Linked DNA regions of Notamacropus eugenii. The protein of the gene in region 2 purifies or fractionates together with the protein of the main gene of each other region. This does not show direct contact. Links are inferred from orthologs where the notes say so. Each region holds a gene or a part of one and is shown on either strand. Other genes may lie near its edges.

Region 1 (3,759 bases), on a different chromosome or scaffold from region 2:
TGGAACCAGAAGGGACTCTAGAGGCCCTGTAGGTGAAGGAAGCTGTTTAAATGACCACTGACTTTCAGATGTGTGTAAACAAGAATCTATTCTTTAATAAGGAAGAGAAGGAACAACTCAAAGCCCAGACTTACCCTTATAATACCTCCTATAGAAGCCAATCTGCTGTACATCCCTAGAGGCATCAAACAACAGCTATGCTGCTTTACCACAGAGCCCTCAGGGTAGGCGGGATGTCAACATGGGTAGCCCACTCAAGCAGTCACGAAGATAATGCTTGTATTCTATAGGAAAATGTGAACCTGAGAACGTGAACCACTAGAATTTTAAGCTACGTTATCAGCTCCTTGATTCCTAATACGATGAAGCTCTTCTAGAGGCAAGAGGAACCAAGAATCTCTGCGTAGAATCTCAGTCTATTCTATAGCAGATATTAGCCTTTCGGACTAAAATAGCTTTCATTTCCGCTTCTTCAGGAAAAAAAGAACACTGCCAGAAGGACAGAGCACAAAATAAGTAGTTTCATTTTCCCTTGGAGACCTGGTTAAGAAAATGAAACCTAATGCCCATTTTAAACATGACAACTATTGATGCCTAGACACCAGAGAATTCTAGAAAACCCTTACTTTGCCCCCTGCTGGGACAGTGCTAGCTCAGCAGCAAAGACAGGTGGCAATGATGAAAAGATAACCTTTTCCTTGAGCCAAAGGAGTGCCTGGCCCCAGTGGACATACCCAGCACATCCATATACACAAACACAGCCTCACAAAATCAGCCCAAGGGATGTTTCCCACTTTGTTCCCAAGTGAACTGACCCCGACCAGTCAGGAAAGTGGCTACGTCAGCATGCAAAAGGAGATTTCTAGGGAATGTCCCCAGTTCCTGTTCTCCAATATGGATGAGAGGGAGATACAGGTGACTGGGAGGAGAGAGGGTGAAACTTGTATAAATAGGAAGACAACCTCCTAGGATGCTGAACTCTTCAGCCCCATCTCATTTTCAGCACTGAATCTCCAAACTTCCATTCTGACCTGGTTAAACTTAGTTAATCATGGAGGGCTGGGTCGGTGTACAGTTAGGAGGAAGGCCTATGGACTACTGCTTCCCACTTTGCAATTCCTTAGAAGAATGGATCACGTTTATTCTAACTTCTCAGCTGACTAGAGGACAGGACTGAGGCCAGCCTTGGGGGGTCCTTTCCCACTATGGTACCTGGGCCCTGAGTAGAGTTAAACTGCTCGCAGGTGCTTCGGTGTCTGCCATCACATCGAAATCTCAGGGTGTGAACTTTGGCCATCCTTTGATCCGAGTGAAAATTTAAGAAGGGCTAAATATTAAACTGACCCCACTGAAGGTACGCTTACGGCCAGGGCCTGGGTCACAGGCAGGGGCACCGGAGTCCAGCCCACAGCCTAGAAGCATCCCAAACGGGGCTCTGACTGAGAGTCACAGCAGGGGGAAGGCAGTTCAAATAACAGCCCTCAACAACGTAGCAGGGATCCGGGCCTTCCCAGAAAGACCTCCCGGGGGGCGGCGGAGGCCGGGGCTGGTCCTCTCGGGCCCCTGCCGCTGCCTGAGCCCCAGGACACTGGTGGAAGGGCGGGCAGAAGGGATCGGTGCCCCCCGCCCGATCCGTCCAGAACGTAACACCACGGAGCAAGGCAGGGGGCCGGGGCATGAATGGGCAGCGCGGGATCACCTCGCCGGTGGAGGGGCGGGCACCCGGCGGGGCTGAGGAAAGGGGGAGGAGCAGCGTGCGGGGAGGGGGCCTCCACCCCGAACCCCCCCCAACCCCCTATGAAGAGCTGGACGTCGAGACCCAGAGAGGCCAAGGGGCTCGCCCAAGGTCACACAGCAAAAGCTGCGGGGCCCGGCTGTGGCTGCGGGCGTCCGGAGGCTCTGGGTTAGGGCTCCCCCCCCCTTCCCAACACCTCGGGGAGCCGCGGGGGGGGGGGGGTCACGGCAGCCCGGATCATGACTCCCGCTCCCCCCTCCCCAGCCGCGCGAGGACAGGGCCCAGTCGGGCTGGGAGGGGTGGGGGTGGCGGCCTCCCCACCCCAGGAGCCGGGGCCCGCTCCCGCCCCCTCCCCGGGGCCCGCCGGCGCCCTCGTTACCTCCGGGCTTCCTCGTCGTCGGGCAGCTCGGGCTCGGGTTCGGCCGCCGCCGCCATTACCACATCGCACTCCGCGGCCGCCGCCATCTTACCGCCAGGGCTGGGGAGCCGGGTGGGGGGCGGGCGGTAAGGAGCACTTCCGGGCGCAGGAGCAACGAGCGGCGGCGCCGCGGCGGCCTGGGCGCGCCCAGAGAGGCTCTCTCGGGCTCGCCGGCCGGCGGGAGGGCGCGCGGGCTGCCAGAGCGGGGCCGGGCCGCGTCGGGGCGCTGGGGCCGCAGTGCGGGCCCACAGGCGGCCCCGGCTCATCGGGGGAGCCAGCTTGGACGAGCGTGCGGGGCGCCGAGCGGGGATCCGTGCTTGTCGCGGGCGCGGCCGCGCGCTCGGCCTCAGGGTTCCGAGGGCCCTGTCGCCATGGCAACGCCCTGGCGTTCTGCTCCCTGGGCTGGGCGCGAGAGACCAGGCGACTGGAGGGGCTCCGGGAGGCCGGCCAGCTGGGGGGCTGGCCTCCGGGGCCCTGCCCAGCCAAGCGGGGGGAACGCGGCCCGCTCCTTTCATCCCCGCCCGGGATCCCCGGGCGCGGCGGGGGCCTCCCCCTCACGACGCTCCGACCTGTTTTATGGGCAGCCTTTCATGTGGGCCGCCCGGGGGTGCCACCCGTGCTTTATGGGGGACCCCCACGCCCCTGCCCCATCCCAACGGCTGTCCCCACCCAGCGTGCACCACCCCACAGTGGGCAGTCATCCATGGGGTCAAGATTTAAAGTAACAGAAACGCCTGTAAATCCACCTGGTTTGAAGCGCGACTGATGGCGCCCCCAAACTGTATGACGCACTTGAGGACGGGGATGCACGGACTGACTGGGAGCCCCCGGGAGCAGGGCCCCAGCGCTTAGCCTGGTGCATCTAGGCCCTTTATAGATGCTAGTTGACTTCATTGGGGGGTTGGTTGGCCCGCATCCAGCTGAATGAATTCAGCGAGTTCAGCATTCAATGAAATGAACCACATTATGTGGAGGAAAGAGCTTTGGAAAGGCTCAGGGTTGAGAACTAGTTTTGCCACTAAATCCCTTGTGTGACCTTTATGTCTCATTTGGCAGAAAGATGGAGTTGGAGTAGGTGCTCTCTCCACCCAGTGTCCTTCCAGCTCTAAAATCTAGGATCCTCATAGAATTCCTGATTTAAGTTTCAACTCAGGTGTCAACTCCTAGAGGAAGCCTACTCTAATTCCCCACACCCCTCCAGTTACTAACTAGTACTCTCCACACAGAAATTACTTTGTATAGACTGTGTACATACTTCTCTCCACTCCTCAATATACTATATACTTCTCCAGGGCAGTGACGATTTCTATTTTTTTTTCCATCTACAATTCCTTCTGGGGGTATTCAATAGTAGGTAGCTAATGAGAGGTATTTAATAAATGCTTGGTTGAATGGATGAGTGAATCCTAATCAACTTGTACAGTTCTGCAAACAAATTAAGGGGAATGAGAGATTAGTACATCCTCTACCCCATATCCTTGACCTTGAGATTGCCAGGGCCTCCAGACTGGTCCCAGACTCTCACTCTTGTCCTTTTGGTGTTAAGAGCCTCGGAAATTTGTTGACCATCCTCTCCCTTCCCTTTTAGGGAAAAAAACCCTCAGCA
Region 2 (3,759 bases):
ACTTCTGCCTAAATGTTAGGAATTTTCCTTTCTAGGAGCTCTTAGGTATTAAGATATAAATTCCATAAAACAACAAAGGGAGAGAAAAGACCTAAAAGAGTAAGAGACCTAAGGGATATTATATAGTCATTAGGCTAAAATTAATCACTTGTTTTTAGAATGCGGTTGATCATATCTCCAGAGAAAGCCAGTATGGAAGAAGGTTGAGCTCTGGCAAAAGATGCCATCCTAACCCCTTTTTCCCTCTCCCCCCACAAAAGACGTAGGAGAGATTTAGCTGTGCCCCCATGTATCAGGGAAGACGGGAACAGAGAGGAGGGGGTCCTGGCCAAGGGTCACTACCCACCATAACTAAGGCCCGAGTCAAACCAAGCACCGGCAGTCACCGTCCGACGGTGTTTACTCCTTGTTCTCGACCCCAAGCCAATCCGCAGGGAGCAGCTGCGGAATTCCGGGGCTCAGAGAGGAGCCGGCCTGAAGGGTCCGGAAGCGCCAGGGACAGAGAGTGCGCCGGGATTTGGGGCTCCGCCACGATGCGGGACGTCCAGGCAGCGCTTTAGGAGCTTGGGCCGCGGGAACGTGCGGCTTAGGGCGCGCACACACGACTCCATAAAACCGCATCGAGGTTCGGCGACACAGACACCAGCCGTGCCCCTCCACAGCCGCGATCAGGGCCGATGTCACCGCGCTCCCTGCAGGGCCAGGCCGGTCAGTCACTCTCTTCCGTTCCGAGTGGGGATGAGCAACAGACAGGCGTGGGGTTCAGTGACTGGCCGGCGTGCCACCTCTCACGGGCCCGGCTCAGGGACAGACACACGTCGGGGCTCCGCGACACTCTCGGCCCCTCCCCCCACCCGGCCGAGGCTCAGAGGCAGACGCACGTCGGGGCTCAGTGACTGTCTGCCCCTCCCCCACGAGGCCGGAGCGGGTGCCTCCTCTCTGCCCCTCCCCCCCGGGGGGGGGTCGCGGTTCAGTGACACGCTCCCCGCCCCTCCCCCCACCCGGCCGAGGCTCAGAGGCAGACGCACGTCGGGGCTCAGTGACTGTCTGCCCCTCCCACCACGCCGACGCTCAGTGACACCGAGACTGACAGCCGTCGGGGCTCAGTCACTCACACACTCACACACATACACACACACATATACACATACACTCACACTCACACTCACACACACACACACACACACACACATACACACACACACACGCCGAGATTCGTTGACACCCTCCCGCCGGCCCGGGCGCGGTGGCACCGCCGTCGCTCCCGCGGGTCACGGCCGGCCAGCGTACTTGCCGGGCCTTGCCACCTCGGGGGCCCCGGGCCCGCCCCGCTGACGCCCTGGTTACCCGGCTCCGCGTCGAGTCCTGGGGCTCTGGCCCTTCTTCCGAGCCGAGCCGGCGGCCGTGGCAGGAGAAGCCGCGGCGGGGCGGACGGAGGAGCCCCTGCCTCCAGCCCACCCGGGCGGCCGCCGCCATCGGCATCTCCTCGGCCCCGCCTCGGCCGCGCCGCTTTACGGCAGTCTCGTAAAATGGCGGCTGCGGAGGAGGAGCCGGAGAAGGAGCAGGAGCCCGGGAGCCGGGGGCCGACCGTGTACTCGCCCAGAGGTGACCAGCGAGCGGCGGAGGCGGCGAGGCAGGGCTCCATCTGGCCGCCGGGGCCGCCCCCGCCTGGCGATCCGGGGCAGTGCCGACGCTCGGCCTCCCGGCCGCAGGAGGACTCCTCTGGCCGCAGGGGGTGGGTCAGGCCTTCCCAGGGCGGGGGTGGGGGGCGAGGGAGGCGGAGCGGGAAAGGGGAGGAGGAAAAGGAGGGGCAGGAAGAGAAGGAGAGCTAGGCCGGGCTGCGGGGCCGGGGCCCGGGCCATGGTGGCGCTGGGACGAGTGAGGGGCGGCCGAGCCAGACGGGACGCTTTCCTTTCAGGGTCCGGCTTGAGGTGATAAGAGCCAGGGTGAAGGACTCGGCGGTGGTGACCGACTGCTCGCTGTGGCCCCTCCGGAGCGAGATAGAGGGGTATGTATCCCTCCTACCAGCCCCCACCCCCACCCCCGGACCGGGACCCCCCGCGGTGCCCTGCCGGGCCGGGACCCATCCTCAGTCTTCTCCCCACCCTTTTTTTTAAACCTTCCCTGACAGGCCATTGTCTCTTTTTGTCACCCCCCACAAACTCCCAAAGGCCAGCCCCTCTCTTTTTACTCCCTCCATGTTCCTAGAGGCCGATCCCCATTTTTTCACTCCCCCACATCCCAGGATGCCTTCCTTTTCTCAGATCCCCTCACAGGCCGGGCTCCCCTTCCCATGCCTTCGGAATCCGGGCCCCCGCTTTTTACTTCTCTACTCAGGGTGGGCCCCCCCATCCTTCCCTCCCCAAGTCTTTAGGTCTCTTAGCTTTGGGGGGCCTGGAAGGGGTGTCTCCTCACTATCGTGCCTCCCCACACAGAACCAGTTCTTTCCCCGGTGCTGCCCCCCCCCCCATGACCTCCTTCCCCATGGGAGGGAATGGGGTCATCGATTTTTAACTCACCCCTTAGGAGCGCTGCCGAGAGCCTCAGGAAGGTCCGAGGTCTCCCCTCCCCCATGGCGGACCCTATTGTGAGGTCAGGGCCAAGTCAAGGCCTGAGATCCCCTGGAAGCCAGGCAGCCCAGCCCAGGAAGCCAGGCCGTAGAAGGTGGCCGTAGTGGCCGGTCCCCTGAGCCCTGTGCTCCTTTCAGAACTAGCCGGGGCGGGGTGAAACAGGATGCAGCTTTGCGCTTTGACACCTAACCCGTAAAGGGGCTCATCCATCTTAACGTAACAACTTCTGGAAGCAGACACAGGGGCCTGGCCAATTCCAACACTGCTCAGCAATTTAACATCATTTCTTTCCTTCTGGGTAACTCGAGGAGACCATTGACGTGGTGACACCAGGAGCCCAAGGTGGGAGGTGGCACCTGGTCCAGATCCTCATTCACTTCTGCCTCCCTAAAATTTTTTAGTAATTTTATGGCCCTGCTCTCTGTAAAGCCAATAGGAAGTTTTGAAACTAGTGTTTGTGAGTGAAAGTTCAATTGGCATTAGTTATATTTAAATTAAATAGCAGCACTCTGTCCCATGTAGACCTGATTTGGAGGGAGGGGGGAAATGGCTGTCGTGGAATTTAGAACTGGAAGAGACTTTGGACTTAGATCACCTAATCTACCTCTTCTCCCTTGCATCTTATAGATGAGGAAATTGAATGAAACCCAGAGAGGGAAGTGAAATAATTTACCCAGAGTCTCAGAAATAGGTAGTAGAACCTAGGATCCAGTCCAGCTCTTCTGACTTCAGATATTGCCTGCCTTTCCACTAGTGCTGAATGTTTCAGCCTTGCCAGATTTTTAAAGATAAGGTTTTTGAGATTTTGGAGTGATGGTAGGAAGAAAATAGAAAATCTGTAGATCAGCTAATGATCCTAGGGAATAAGAATTTAGCAGAAATCTGATGTCGGTATTTGGTTTTTGTTTGGAGGGGTGGATCTTTCCTTAAATAGCCTAGTTCTTATTGTTACATTTTCTTTGTTGGGAAAAGGAGGGCAAAGGGTGATTAGATCAAAAAAGGAGTTTTACTTACCTTAAGTTCTCTTTTTTCAACCATTTAACTTTTTAGTGTTATATAAAACAAAAGGAAAGAGCAATTTGATGGCTTAAAAAAACTTTGAAGAGTAGAAACTAAAAGAGTAATGATGTTAAAAAGCTTTTTGTGACCTTTTTTAGTAAGTTGTGCCTTAGTTATTTATTACAGTTGA
Region 3 (3,759 bases), on a different chromosome or scaffold from region 2:
TAAGGGGGATTGGGAAGGGCTTCCTGTAGAAGATGGGATTTTAATTGGAACTTGAAAGAAGCCAGAAAAGGTGAAGAGAAGAGAGTATTCTAGGCCTGGGGGACAGCCAGAGAAAATGTTCTGAGCTGAGAGATGGAGTGTCTTGTTTGTGGATCAAAGAGAGTATATGGTTAGTGGTTCAGGACACAAAGTGTTAAAAAAAAAAACATGGAAAGGTGAGGAAGGGAGTTAGATTCTGAAGAACTTTAAACGCCAGAGGATTTTCTATTTGATACTGAAAGTGACAGGGAACGACAGGGTGTGTGACATAGTCAGATCTGAGCTTTAGGAAGGTCGCTTTTGCAGTTGAATTGAGTGAAGATGATATTGGAGTGGAGAGAGACTTGAGGCAGACCCACCAGTCCGGGTGATGGGCTTGCACCAAGGTGGTGGCAGTGTCAGAGGAGAAAAACTGAATACTATTAGAAAAAGCTCCGAATTTGGAGTGGGAAAAGGCAGATTCTTCTTCCTTCTGCCACTTACTAGACACTTTTAAGACAGCAAACATTTATTAAAGGTTTTCTGTCTGTTAGGAGGAGACAAAAAATAAGCCCAGAATTAACGATCTTGCCTTCTCCAAGCCTCAGTTTCTTTTTCTATTCAAGGAGATCTGATCAGATCACCAGTCTCTTTCAGCTCTCTTAAAAGCCAGGATCTAGGACTGAAACCCAGACAAAGGGGCGGGACAGCCTGGCCGAGGGGCGGGGCTTGCTCTGATCCTCAGGTGTGGGCAGAGCACTGAGACTGAGTCTTCGACACCCTGGAAAAATAGAAATTCCAGGAGGGCGGGGCAGTGGGGGCGGGGCTGGTTGAACTAGGTGAGGGTCCCAGAAGGCCGCGGGAGAACTGACTCGCGCTCGGTGGGGGGCGGGGGCGTTGCAAAAGGGAGGAGCAAAGAAGGCGGAGGAGTGCGTCTCGAGCCCGCAACCGTTGACGATCCTACCCCGCCCCAGGGTCACGTGTTGCGATTCGGCCGCCCAGGATTGGGCAGTGCGGCGCGAGGGGCGGAGCGGAAGGTTCTGGAGAGGGCTGGCGGGCTCTGGAAGCTTCCGCCGGGCGGGTATATAGCGTCCGGGCCGGGGCGGCGGCGGAGCCGTAAGGACGGCGGCGGGAGGGTGGGGGTCATGGGTAAGGATTACTACCAGACGCTGGGCCTGGCCCGGGGCGCCTCGGACGAAGAGATCAAGCGAGCCTACCGCCGGCAAGCGCTGCGCTACCACCCGGACAAGAACAAGGAGCCGGGCGCCGAGGAGAAGTTCAAGGAGATCGCCGAGGCCTACGACGTGCTCAGCGACCCGCGCAAGAGGGACATCTTCGACCGCTACGGGGAGGAGGGTGAGTCAGGGGCCCGCGGAAGTGGGAGCAGGCTCATCCAGGAGAGGCCCGGGCGGCGCTGCAGGAGGCCGCCCCCGGAAAACCAGGAGCCGCCGGGCCCAGGGGACGGCGCTCGCGGCGAGGCCTGGCTCCTGCGAGCCTGCGCCGTCAGCCCGGAGCCTCCCTCCCGGGGGACGGGGAACCTCTGACGTTTGCTCGCCCCCTGCTCGCCTCCGGGGCCTGCTGTGGGTTTTGCAATGAGCAAGAGTTACTTTTTCCCTCCTCGTCCCCGGTGGGGCTGCTGGCCCCCCGACCCCCGTACCCATTGGCTACACTGCCCTGCATTCCGATTGGCAGCCTTTCGATGAGAGGTGGAGACCTGGCTGGCTCAGCAGCTGGCTGTCATGTCCGCAGAACCTTCTAGCATGTTTGTTAGTCATTCCCCGAGAGAAGTTAGACCAGAGGCAGGGAGATCTTAAGGTTTTACTGTGGGCCTTCCCCAGCCTGTGGGTGTGAGCAAAGCATCTACTAGTATGTTAGGCGGGGTCTACTTTTCCTCCCCACGCCTTAGCAAACTTGTTTGATGACTTCCCTTAGCTCCATTCCCCTGGAGGATATATTGGAAATGCACCTCCTTTGCTTTCACATGAGAATATTAATGATGGCTGAAGTCAACTCCTGAATCCAGTAGTTAACCTGGGGACATTTCCCTACCTTATTCCAGTAAGAAAAAGATGTAGATGTCTTGGATGTGAAACATATCACAATCAGGAATTGCAGAGCTGAGGCTCGGGCTAGTTGAAGAGTGCTTTGAAAAAGGGGGGATGGGGATTTTTTTCCAACTCTAGTAACATTGTTTTCCCAAGCATTTTATAGACCTTAAAAGCACAGGGGAAAGGTTTTAAAATACTTATGTGGTAGTCAAGGCTCAAAAGGCATCGGGATCAAATAGTAGCCATTCTTTAAAAGGGCTAACTATAAGCAACTGAAAATAGCATATTTTGCCATTTAGAAAGAAGGCTCATACAGAGCTCAACAGAAGTCTTAGTGAATACTTAAGCTAGTAGAGCTTAAAATTGCATTAAAACTTTTGGGATACCTTGTATATCTTGACCTCAAGGAGTAACCAGCTGAAATCTAGACAAGAATAGAAGTTAATAACACTCTGTTAAATTCTTCCTTATTTCTCAGGTTAGCACTAAAATACGGTCCAGCAATTTCCCTCACAGACTAGGCAGCCCAAGGCTAGGATGCAAAAATCTAGCATCTTCATCCTATTGATAGCTAACATACTGTCTGTCTTGAAATAAGATCATGTCTAAATAGGAAAAATAGGAGTATAGAAAGTGGGGCAAAAAAACAATGCTTTCTATTTGTCTAATGATGCCCAAGTTCTCTCTCCTTGACTGGGGAAGAAGAAGGAGTTCTAGAGCAAGAAGAGCTATTTTCTTTGGCCAACAATTTGAATTCTCGTTTTTCCTTTTTCAGGACTGAAGGGTGGTGGCCCTAGTAGTGGTAGCAGTGTTGGTCCTAACGGTGCTTCCTTCAGCTACACTTTCCATGGGGACCCTCATGCCATGTTTGCTGAGTTCTTTGGTGGCCGAAACCCTTTTGACACCTTTTTTGGTCAACGAAACGGGGAAGAAGGCATGGATGTTGATGACCCATTTTCTGGCTTCCCAATGGGCATGGGTGCCTTTACCAATATGAACTTTAACCGACCTCGTCCAGCCCAGGAACACAGCCGCCGAAAACAGGATCCCCCGGTTACCCACGATCTCCGGGTCTCACTTGAGGAGATCTATAGTGGTTGTACCAAAAAGATGAAGATCTCCCACAAGCGGCTTAACCCCGATGGGAAGAGCATCCGCAATGAGGACAAGATCCTGACCATTGAAGTGAAAAGAGGGTGGAAAGAGGGGACCAAGATTACCTTCCCAAAAGAGGGGGACCAAACCTCAACCAACATTCCAGCTGACATTGTCTTTGTTTTAAAGGACAAGCCACACAACATATTTAAGAGAGATGGGTCTGATGTGATTTACCCAGCAAGGATCACCCTCCGTGAGGTAAGGCAGGATCTTTATAGACATACAGCTGTGGTTTATAGTAACGGGATTCTGGACTTCAGTGACCTTAGAGAAAGAGACTTGTGGCTTGAAAGTAACCATCAGTAATGAAACCCAGGTCTTTTTATTCTAAGTTTAGTATACTGTCTGTATCTACTATGCTCCCTTGCTGGAGACATAAACATCTCTCAGCACAATCTAGAGAGGAATCACATGTTTTGATTGCCTGTATGTGGTTAGTCATGCAGATCTGTGCCACACTTTCTGGAAACAGTACAGGGGTTCATATAAGACAAGTTGAAGGGAAAGCTAGTCATCCTTACCCAGTCAAAATCTT

The links.
Region 1: the proteins of BAG5 (region 2) and DNAJC7 purify together in Homo sapiens (affinity purification with mass spectrometry; 4 studies listed by BioGRID and IntAct, with this or other methods). This does not show direct contact. The link is inferred for Notamacropus eugenii from reciprocal best matches to the Homo sapiens genes BAG5 and DNAJC7.
Region 3: the proteins of BAG5 (region 2) and DNAJB1 purify together in Homo sapiens (affinity purification with mass spectrometry; 3 studies listed by BioGRID and IntAct, with this or other methods). This does not show direct contact. The link is inferred for Notamacropus eugenii from reciprocal best matches to the Homo sapiens genes BAG5 and DNAJB1.

The regions. Positions count from the first base shown.
Region 1 is NC_092873.1:358,508,293-358,512,051, forward strand, and holds the start of DNAJC7 (dnaJ homolog subfamily C member 7), read right to left. Parts: upstream 2,294-3,759; 5' UTR 2,201-2,293; coding exon 2,115-2,200; intron 1-2,114. UniProt on the Homo sapiens protein: Acts as a co-chaperone regulating the molecular chaperones HSP70 and HSP90 in folding of steroid receptors, such as the glucocorticoid receptor and the progesterone receptor.
Region 2 is NC_092872.1:349,352,443-349,356,201, forward strand, and holds the start of BAG5 (BAG family molecular chaperone regulator 5), read left to right. Parts: upstream 1-1,529; coding exon 1,530-1,735; intron 1,736-1,900; coding exon of another isoform or gene 1,901-1,918; coding exon 1,919-2,008; coding exon of another isoform or gene 2,009-2,068; intron 2,069-2,274; coding exon of another isoform or gene 2,275-2,352; intron 2,353-2,581; exon of another isoform or gene 2,582-2,912; intron 2,913-3,759. Other genes in the region: COA8 (cytochrome c oxidase assembly factor 8), read right to left, coding at 1,348-1,722, 1,901-2,068, 2,275-2,352. UniProt on the Homo sapiens protein: Co-chaperone for HSP/HSP70 proteins. It functions as a nucleotide-exchange factor promoting the release of ADP from HSP70, thereby activating HSP70-mediated protein refolding.
Region 3 is NC_092875.1:76,447,753-76,451,511, forward strand, and holds the start of DNAJB1 (dnaJ homolog subfamily B member 1), read left to right. Parts: upstream 1-1,005; 5' UTR 1,006-1,163; coding exon 1,164-1,374; intron 1,375-2,841; coding exon 2,842-3,422; intron 3,423-3,759. UniProt on the Homo sapiens protein: Interacts with HSP70 and can stimulate its ATPase activity. Stimulates the association between HSC70 and HIP. Negatively regulates heat shock-induced HSF1 transcriptional activity during the attenuation and recovery phase period of the heat shock response.